Nothobranchius furzeri: one gene and its partners. The protein of the gene in region 1 purifies or fractionates together with the protein of each later gene. This does not show direct contact. Links are inferred from orthologs where the notes say so. Each region holds a gene or a part of one and is shown in the gene's direction. Other genes may lie near its edges.

Region 1 (3,657 bases):
TGGATCTTTTTTCAGGCTTCCTGCAATTAGAATTTTTAGGAAACCCACATCTTGATTCTGGGTTTAAAAATGCATTATAATTACTGCGTTACTGACAATTGTACCGAGTAAATATTACCTTTTTCTTTCCCTGTAATGCCTTACATTACCACATTACAGCAAAAAGCAATGCATTACAGTAATTAATTACTTTAGTACCGCGTTACTCCCAACACTGAGTATGAAAAGGGATGAAACGGGTTTGGTTGCTATGGTTACACGCTTTCTTTTGGCTGGCTTAGTTGCCAGGAGTGTGGCAAAGAAGGAGTTGGGAGGGGGCATCTTATTTGGGCACGTGTTGGACCAGATTTCAATAAAATAGCTGAAAATGCTTTGGTGATCATTAAAATAATTTCTTTTTTTTTGCCATGAAAGGATGTTAGAGCTGTTGTGTGTGCTAACATTACATGTTTGTGACCTCTCCTGTACAGAGGGGCTCCCCGAACATGGCCCCCACGAGCAGCACCTGCAGTCTATCTGTTAGCGTTATCGCTGATGGAGCATCAAGCTGCAGTGGCAGACAGACAGGCTGTGTGGCTTTTTCTGACCAAGGCTACAGCTGTGTTGTGTAAGAAAGCACAGCCATGGGAGGGCTGACTCACACCAGCCCTGACGAGAGCTGCAGCTGAGGGGGAAAAGTCTAAAATAAATAAGTTTCAAAAGGAGAGAAAAGCAGTTGAAACACTTGACTTCTCAGCAGCAAATCAGATCTTTATTGCAATTATAACTGATTCAAATTATTGAAATTTTCAACTACACATAAACGCATGAGTGTCCAAGGTTCACTTGCAGTGTAAATATACTCTACCATGATTGTTGCAACATGTTTGTATTATAATTCTGGATGTTTTATTCATAATGTAGACCAAAGTTTAGTTTAGCTTTAAAAACGACATCTTCTTGGGAAAGTTACAAACCAGAGAACACGTTTCCATTTTCTAAACAATGACTACACAGTCCTGTTGGGGTTTCATTCATCTTTAAGGAGACGTTACGCCATCACAGCTACACGGGATGTTTCTGAGTCATCTAATGAGTCAACCACAAATCACCTGTTAGAGTGCAACCACGCCCCGACAGCCGCCGTGGCTGACTCAGGCCTTCAGATCCAACCTCTGAACAAATCCTCTGTGTGTGTGTGTGTGTGTGTGTGTGTGTGGGGGGGGGGGGGGGGGGGGATAATTATTGTAAAGAAAAGTGTTGAAAAAGTACAAAACCCCCATTTTAGAAACTTGAAGCAGAATGTCCCGCTGTAGAAATATACCTTCTATTTGCATTGTTTCTGGTTCAAATCATTTGTTGCACTCACACATTTAATCTCACTGTGGAAGCCCTAACATGGAGGTCGCCACCTGTGTGTGTGTAACGGGCTGATTATAGTTATCAGAACAAAAACATGGTGAACCCAGTATTTAGTCCGTCCCACTTTCCTGTTTATAACCCGACTCTCCATCATTTCAGTGACGTTCAACTGTGAGAGGGTTATGTTTTTACGTTAAGCTTGCCCTAATTACCAGGCTCTTATTGTGAAGGGGTTTTACAGGGTGTTATGTCTCATGCAGGCAGGGCCTATGATGCTGTCAGAATAATAAAGATAGTTACTGTAAACCAGCACCCACTGTGTAAAACTGATGACACCCCCCCCCCCCCCCCCTGCAGGTGATGTACTTCAGCTCCTTGTTTCCATACGTTGTTCTGATCTGTTTCCTGGCTCGGGCGCTGCTCCTGAAGGGCTCCGTGGACGGGATTCGTCACATGTTCACACCCAAGGTAAAGCACATCAGAGGTCAGAGTGAACCCTAACCCGTCAGACTCTGTTCTGTATTACTGCTGTTTTACGTTTGAGTTTTAGTCCTCTACAGCTGGTTTATCTGCTTACATGTAAACCATAAGTAGTTTTTGCTCAATAAACAGAAATATGGGCAAAAATACAGGATTAAAGCTAATCCTAATGAATTAAACATATTGTTAGATTACCATATCAGAGCCGTTTCCTCATCTCCCTGATGGTTTCACCGTTTAACTGCTGGAACTCAAAAGACTACATCTGTAGCTTGATAGGCTGGCTCTCCAGCACCCTCAGCCAATAGCATGACAGGCCACAGAACCGTGTCTCCATGGAAACAGGAGGTACCGCGTCCTTATGTAGCCGGCCAGCAGAAGATACTCCTAGTCAGCAGAGTGCCTGTCGCATGTGTGCTCTCTCAGCTCCTCCAGCGTGCGTGTCCTTAGATTCTCATCTAAACAAGCTGGATTTTATGAAAGCTTCACGTATTTCTGTTAAATTCTTAAATGTGTATTTTTGAAGTTATGTGTTTACCATAAATCAAGGAAAACGCCAGTTCAATGAAAATAATCTACATAATAGTGATGCAGGCTGCGGAGTGAGGGTTTGTGTGTGTGTGTGTGTGTGTGTGTGTGTGTGTGTGTGTGTGTGTGTGTGTGTGTGTGTGTGTGTGTGTGTGTTTGTGTGTGTGTGTGTGTGTATGTGTGTGTGTGTGTGTGTGTGTGTGTGGGCCTGACTTATTTTGACGAGGCACACTGAACCCTAACCCAGTATTCCTGCACTGCTCTCAGCTGGAGATCATGCTGGAGGCCAAAGTGTGGCGAGAGGCGGCCACACAGGTCTTCTTCGCGCTCGGTCTTGGCTTCGGCGGCGTCATCGCCTTTTCCAGCTACAACAAGCGCAACAACAACTGCCACTTTGATGCCGTCTTGGTATCATTCATCAATTTCTTCACCTCCGTGCTGGCCACCCTGGTGGTGTTTGCTGTGCTGGGCTTTAAAGCCAACATCATGACCAGCAAATGCATTTCTCTGTGAGTAGAACGGACAGTGAGCGATCAACCACTCAAGTGTGGTCCAGAGGTCTTTAGGGAAGACCGTCCAAATCCAGAAGTTTGTCTACACGTGTTAAAGACTGTCTCGTTGTCTTTTAGGAACACCAATAAGATTGTGGCTTTGTTGGGGAATGGCATTGAACCGAGCCTCATCCCCCACCACATAAACCTGACTCAGGTCAGTCAGGTCAGCGCTGACGACTACCATCAGATGACCGAGATTCTCAGAGGCGTGAAGGAGAACGAGTACCAGAACCTGGGCCTGGAGCCCTGCAGCATTGAAGCCGAGCTCAATAAGGTAACCCCAAAGAAATATCTGCCCGTGTTTCAGAAGGATCTAAATGTTTTAGTCAGCGTATGAAACTACATCTAGGAAACCTTTCCCATCTCTGGAGGAAGGCTTGTTTCTGCAGCCACCTACTGGTTTGCTGGTTTGTGATTGTTTTCCTTCCTTTAACAGGCGGTCCAAGGCACAGGTCTGGCCTTCATTGCCTTCACAGAAGCCATGACCCACTTCCCCGCCTCGCCCTTCTGGTCGGTCATGTTCTTCCTCATGCTGATCAACCTGGGCCTCGGCAGCATGTTTGGCACCATCGAGGGAATTCTCACGCCGCTGATCGATGCCTTCAAAGTCCGCAAGGAGTTTCTGACGGGTTAGTCTTTGTTCAGCCTTGTACGAATATTGATGTTTAAACAGTCATGCTTCAAACTAAGTTTAAAATGGAAAATATGAACTCTACACCTCTAACTTATTCCCCGAGACGGTCAGAGGACCTTA
Region 2 (2,220 bases), on another chromosome or scaffold:
GAAAAGGAGCTTCAGAGGGAGGAGATTCAAAAACTACAGGCGCAAGTGAGCGCGCTGCGGTCAGAAATACAGGTGAGCTTTATGAAATGGTAGTAATTTATAATCCCTACTTCTTTATGCTGTGGTAAAATATTCAGGTGACTCGGATTAATTCTCTGTCATTAAACATCCAAAACTCCACTGAGATTTGACTTATTCAGTTTTAAAGTCTAATTTCCTCCCAGGATGTGGAGAATCAGGCCCTGGCAGAGACAGAAACTTGGCGGGAGCAGCAGGTGCAGTTACAGGAACAACAGGCCTTACAAAACTGGGCCAAGCAGGAGTTGGAGGCTGAAGTGGAGCGCTACAAACACGTAAGAGACCTATGATCGTGTCTAAATACCACCCTGACAAATGCAACATAATGTCTTAGAATGCTGTTTTAGGAGCTACAGTATCTTGAGGATGAGCAACACCGAGCCAAAAGCACTCTGCAGATCCGCATTAAAGACCGAGAAGATGAAATCCAGAAACTCAGGAATCAGGTGAGCAGCGGCGTCTCGGCATGCTCATTTTAAGATGCTCCACACAAATCAGCTTTGATCATCGATTTCCTGGTTTTTCTTTGCTCCTCCAGCTGACCAATAAAACGATCAGCAGCAGCAGCCAGACAGAGCTGGAGAATCGACTCCACCAGCTGACAGAGACGCTCATCCAGAAGCAGACCATGCTGGAGGCTCTGGGCACAGAGAAAAGCTCCCTGGTCTTTCAGCTGGAGCGTCTGGAGCAACAGCTGAAGAGTGCTCAGGGCGGACAAAGTGGAGGGCCGACCATCAACATGAGCAACCTAGAGGGTCCGGGTAGGAGGAGGAGTTGTTTGGTTCTCTTCAACGTAATTTTGAATAGTTGTTCTTGTATTAAAAGTATTTCACTGACTGCCAGGAGCTCGACAGAGAAACTTGCCTGTGCTCTTCAGTGACCAGGACAGTCGAGGAGTGTATGGCAAAGTACGCAAGGCAGCCAGCACTATCGACCGCTTCAGGTAAGATTATTTCATCGGTGATGTTGGTTTCCTGTTTGTAACCTGCACAGTAGTGAGTGAAATGTGTTTTTCCTGCAGCATAAGACTGGGAATCTTTCTGAGGCGCTACCCTATGGCCAGAGTTTTTGTTATTCTATATATGGTGAGGACTTATTTAGGACATGCGGGTTGTTCAGTTATGTCTTTACCTGTTTGATTTTCTGTTTTGTTTTTTCCAGGCGGTATTGCACCTGTGGGTCATGATTGTTCTTCTGACTTACACACCTGAAATGCACAGTCGTCCTGATGGAAGATAGAAGGCTTAAAATCTGAGTTAGAAATGGTTTTATGGCCTTCAGTGTGAGGAAGCTGCTGGAATCGGGGATGTGGGACCTGACTCTTCCTATTTTGCACAGATATATTATGAACTAAAGACATTTGTTGTGATTTATTCCGCTTCTAACTAAGGATTAAAGGCCGACCGCTGCATTTGGGTTTTTAAAGTGAAGTTATATAAAGTGTTGATCTAAAGCTATATAAAAATCATCTTGCATCTCATATGCACTCGGTTCTCTGTTGTTTTGAGAGATTATGTATGTTCAACACTATGTAAAAAGAAAAAATAAGCTTTTAATAAATAAGTTAGATGATGCGACAGTTAATTTTTTGCCTCTGTTCAGACTTGGATGCTGAGTTAAATCTTTAGAAAATGTTTTGCAATTCAGTTACATAAAGAAGTTGGATAAACAATAAGGGTTTGTATTTCTATGCAAAAATGACTTCACATCGAGTTTCTACACAGTGCATGGTATTTTCTTTAGTAGGGGTGTAGGTGCATTTAATGTGTGTGTGAGAGAGAGAACTAATGCATCAGATACTTAATATATAATAAACTAAGATCACAGAAAAGGGGAAATAAATCAAAGTAGCATCTAAGGATCTATAGATGATCCTCTCTTAACTAAATGCAGATTAGACAAAACAAAACCGATAGTGGTAAGGGAACTCCTTTGGCTCACCTGTAAGGTTTCAAGTTAAATGTTGGATTTCCCTTTAATGAAAGCATCACACCTGTGAAGCATGTTAGTGGTGATATCAGCTTTGGGCTTTCTTTTTCTGCATTTTAAACCAAGAAAAAGTGCTGTCTTTGATTTTATATACATAAATTTTTAAATGAAACTAAAGTTGAAGAAAACATAGGTCATGCTGAGTAAAATACA
Region 3 (4,155 bases), about 38 Mb from region 1:
CTTTTCGTATTTGGTAACAATACTTTAGGAAACATCCAGTTTTTCCTCTACAGGCCATAACCTCTGCAGATAAACGCTGGTTTTTATGCAGTTTAGATCTGGTGGATTAATCTTCACCATGCTGTATGATCATAATCTGGATTTAAACCCATTCGAGCCAAACCACTGGTGGGACAGTGAACGGTGAAGGCATTTGGCTCCAATCAAAGGTCAGATCCCTGGAACAACAGCTGCAGCCGGCAGCCAAAACACAGTTTGGGGAACAAAAGCAGAAAATCCTCGTTCTCTAATGTTATGATCATCGTGGCTGTTCTCCACCGAGAGATCACACCGGTCTCTAGAAATAAAAAAAAAGAACCCATTCGTTGGACAAAAGCTAACTGTTAGCAGATTTAAAGTAAAACTGTCCGAGCCGAGGCCGGAACATCGACCCGTTACTCGCCGCGCGGCAGCTCTGGGACGTTCTCCAACACTGCAGCTTTTTATTTGTGGCTTCACAGCTGGACGTGCATGTGTGACAAGTCCCTCTGAAACCAGGGCTTCCCTCATCCGTGAGCAGCAAAGTGAGTTCCCAGAAAAAGAAAACGGCGTTTCTCTGCACTGAGCTGAGAAACGTCTCAGCAACCACATCAGCTGGCAGCAGTTCCTGTAGTGGAGTTAGTTGAAAAAGCCCTCGCAGTCAAACTGAAGACCGACGGCTGGAGAGCGTTTCTCGTCTTTGGAGTAACGGGTTTTCTCAGAATATTAACAACAGGTCAGCTATAAATGCATTTACATGATTTACATTCATTAGAACTTAATTGGAGCAATAAATCAACAGAAATGATTATTAGTGATTTAAGGGTCTTCTTGTTGTTTTGTTTAGATTAGAACAGTCCTTCTGAAGGACGAAAAGCTCGACTTTTCTCCATCGGTGTTGACATTCCCGGCAGGTGAGGTGTTTTCAGACCAGTCACCTATCAGCAGTAGCAGGAACTAAAGGCTCTCATCGGTCACAGCGGATCAGTGGAGTCACCAGACTGGCTCACGGTCCGTTAGTCGGTGACTGTAACTAATTGCTCAATGCACTCAGATTTTCCTTGTGTTGCAACGGTTTCAGGTGCTGGAGAGGAACAGGAACAGTCAGGAATCCTCTCGCCAACCTAGAGCTCGCCACACCCCCCTTACTTCCTGCCTCTGCCAGACTCTTCCTGGTTTAGCTTCCTGCTAAGTTTGTGCCGATTCTGCAGACAACCTGCTAGCTTCTGCAGGGAAACCCGCACTGAAACAACTGTGATGAGATGGCAAAAAGGAAAGGCACTGGTATGCATGAGTCGACTTCCTGTCAGGTGACCAAAGGTTGTCTGAGTGGCACGGTCTTCCTCTGGACGCTCCCTCTGAGGCAGACTGGAAACCAGAGCCGTCTCCTGCGGACGGTGTCAGGTTGGTAAAACGAGGAGAGTCAACTTTATCCAAACTTGGTCCTTTTTCTTCTCTAACTACACTTCGGTTGGGTGATAAACCCTAATGAGATTATACATATCAGGTTCAGCTAAAGCTACATTTCACCCAAACCTGCTGGATGTTTAAGAGTCTGCAGAGGAAGAACGCGCGTCCTGGTTCACTTTGTGACATCGTAAACACAACAGAAGCCACCATGAACAGTGGCGTAACATTTCACATTAATCTGTTCAATAGATATGCTGATTCTGTCTTTTTAAACCAAAGAAAATACCCGTTTAAAACCAACGTTTAGTCCTCACCGGTTTGTCTCTCTGCACACAAACATGCTTAAAGGGGCATTATGGAAGTGTGACAGCCAAAACATGTATAGAAATAATAAATGTCTTCTTCATACATTCTCCTGCAATGCCCTGGTCCTGTAGAATGAGCCCTGGCATTTTTACTGTGATTGCCTGTTTTTCTGTAAAATCACAGAAAAAGAGAGATGCTCGGGTCGAGCAGGCTGCTTCATGCGCGTTCACGCTCAGGCATCGCCCGTAGCATTTGCTATCCGTAGCTTTAGCAGCAGAGAGAGAGGCAGTGCCACTTTGTCGCTGTTCCTAACGCCTAGTGACAAAGCTAGCTACATTTCTGAGGACCCTTAGCTACTTTCTGTAGAACTTTCTTCTAGATATTTCCTGCTAATTAGCAACAAAACAGCCATTTTCACTCCGAACCGTTCTTTGGTTTGACGTTGTTTCAGCTGTCATCAAGGATATAAATATTACAGATACAAAGGATGTCACTGGTGCTTTAGCTCACCTAGTAAAACGTCAGACTTTCGTGCAGTGGATCTGGGTTCGATTCTGGATGTGAACATCGTTCATTTAGAGTTTATTTTTTACATTAGTGGTATATTTTTTACAGTAAGATGCCCAAATTTTTATTTGAGACTCGCCGAACGGCGTTGAATTCACAGATAAAAAAGATGTGGGTTCAACTTTCATTTTGGAACAATTTTTCAAGCAAGGGAAGGGAATGATCTGAGCATGCAGGAGGACTGACCCATCATAAACCTTTGTCGGCTGTGCTGAAGAGAAAGATACAGAACCACATTATTTAATTAATTAGCTGCACGTTCTCCTGTCCTCTGTCCTCTGGGCCACACACACACACACACACACACACACACACACACACACACACACACACACACACACACACACACACACACACACACACACACACACACACACACACACACACACACACACACACACACACACACACACACACACACAGAACTGTCTCAGCTGTTATTTTCGTTAAGGAGTGTGCACGTACAGCATGCGCGCCTCGTGCACGAGTCTACTATTGAAGCTGCCGTCACGCTTTTGGCCTGAGGGGGCGATCACGAGCATAAAAATTCAAAACTCCGTAAAGTCCCTTTAAACTAAACTTACGAGGATTTATTCTCTGGGGATCGGTTTGAGAAGAAAAGCTATTCAAAAGCTGCTGACAAGCAGAAACATGGTTTTGTGGTGGCGACGAAGAAAATCACAAGATTTACAGAAGACATAACGGCCCATCCTTCAGGAAATGGGTTTTGCTGACTACCAAAAACCAAACAGAAGGCTTTAGAAATCATTTTTATTGTAAGGTGATGAATTTAACTATGGAAAATGCATTCATGAGGATTGAAGCAGCAAATATTTTAGACATTTTGGTAGCATGACGAATGATGAAGCTGCTTCTTGACTTAACCATTTAAAAGTTGGGTTAAACCTCTTAAGATGAGATATTTAGAACAAAATGAAAGCATAACTTATTTTATATTAAATCTCTTTATCTGAAAGTTGCGTCCGTTCCTCCTGCACGCAGTAGCTACGCTGCTAAATAAGGAAAACAAGCCTAAAGCTGTGTGTCATCATCGAACAGGAACCAACAGCAAAGCCGGCAGCCGAGCCATGCACAATGCATTCAGATAGTTATTTCTACAAAAATGTGAGTATTAAAAAATAAATCAGGAAGAAGAAAGAAAAAAAACATGAGCAAAGCCCCAAGAGTGATGGCGTTATAGATAATCTGAGCTAAACCCCGCCCAGCTCAACAGACGCTTCTCTCTCATCAAGGGAACTTCCTTCTGAGTTTTCATATTTGCTCACAAGATTTTAGTTCTCTGTAGGCAAACGTCAGTTTAAAAAAGGAGAAAAAGTTCAACAAACTGGAAAAAAATGTTCCCATTTGATGTCAAAATCTAAATTTCTGACTTGAACAGACGCCATAGGACAGATTCTGAGGTACACCCTGTGGTTAAAAGCTTTGACAGCATCACAGGATTGCGTCATTCCTCAGCAGAGACCACATCATCATCACATTAAAGACCACAACTACCTTTGCACAGCTTCTTGAACTCCTCATAATCAGTCCCCGTTGCTGCTGGCACGATCATGGAGCCCTCATACACGAACGCAGCCCTGCAGGACAAAACACAGCTTTATAGTTTCCACATCTCAGTCACTAAAGGTCGCAATCAAGGCGCAGAAAATGCTCCAGACGTGTGTGTGTGTGTGTGTGTGTGTGTGTATGGACGTAATTTTCACTTTAGAAGTGGGGGGGGGGGGGGACACGGGGGTCTTTACAGTATGTTCTAATGGGAAACAGGCTTCAACACAAACGATTGTTTTCCGCTTGGTCCTAGAGCTCAACCAGTGTCAATTTAAAATAGCGTAA

Evidence for each region.
Region 2: the proteins of slc6a15 (region 1) and golga5 purify together in Homo sapiens (co-immunoprecipitation; 3 studies listed by BioGRID and IntAct, counting the BioPlex papers as one, with this or other methods). This does not show direct contact. The link is inferred for Nothobranchius furzeri from reciprocal best matches to the Homo sapiens genes SLC6A15 and GOLGA5.
Region 3: the proteins of slc6a15 (region 1) and klhl36 purify together in Homo sapiens (co-immunoprecipitation; 3 studies listed by BioGRID and IntAct, counting the BioPlex papers as one, with this or other methods). This does not show direct contact. The link is inferred for Nothobranchius furzeri from reciprocal best matches to the Homo sapiens genes SLC6A15 and KLHL36.

What each region holds. Positions count from the first base shown.
Region 1 is NC_091744.1:48,494,634-48,498,290, reverse strand, and holds part of slc6a15 (sodium-dependent neutral amino acid transporter B(0)AT2), read left to right. Parts: intron 1-1,698; coding exon 1,699-1,809; intron 1,810-2,616; coding exon 2,617-2,858; intron 2,859-2,978; coding exon 2,979-3,177; intron 3,178-3,339; coding exon 3,340-3,532; intron 3,533-3,657.
Region 2 is NC_091758.1:19,000,650-19,002,869, reverse strand, and holds the end of golga5 (golgin subfamily A member 5), read left to right. Parts: coding exon 1-72; intron 73-224; coding exon 225-353; intron 354-425; coding exon 426-524; intron 525-616; coding exon 617-839; intron 840-921; coding exon 922-1,021; intron 1,022-1,099; coding exon 1,100-1,163; intron 1,164-1,239; coding exon 1,240-1,317; 3' UTR 1,318-1,652; downstream 1,653-2,220. UniProt on the Homo sapiens protein: Involved in maintaining Golgi structure. Stimulates the formation of Golgi stacks and ribbons. Involved in intra-Golgi retrograde transport.
Region 3 is NC_091744.1:86,535,696-86,539,850, reverse strand, and holds the start of klhl36 (kelch-like protein 36), read left to right. Parts: upstream 1-1,289; 5' UTR 1,290-1,422; intron 1,423-3,816; coding exon of another isoform or gene 3,817-3,899; intron 3,900-4,155. Other genes in the region: cotl1 (coactosin-like protein), read right to left, coding at 3,817-3,899.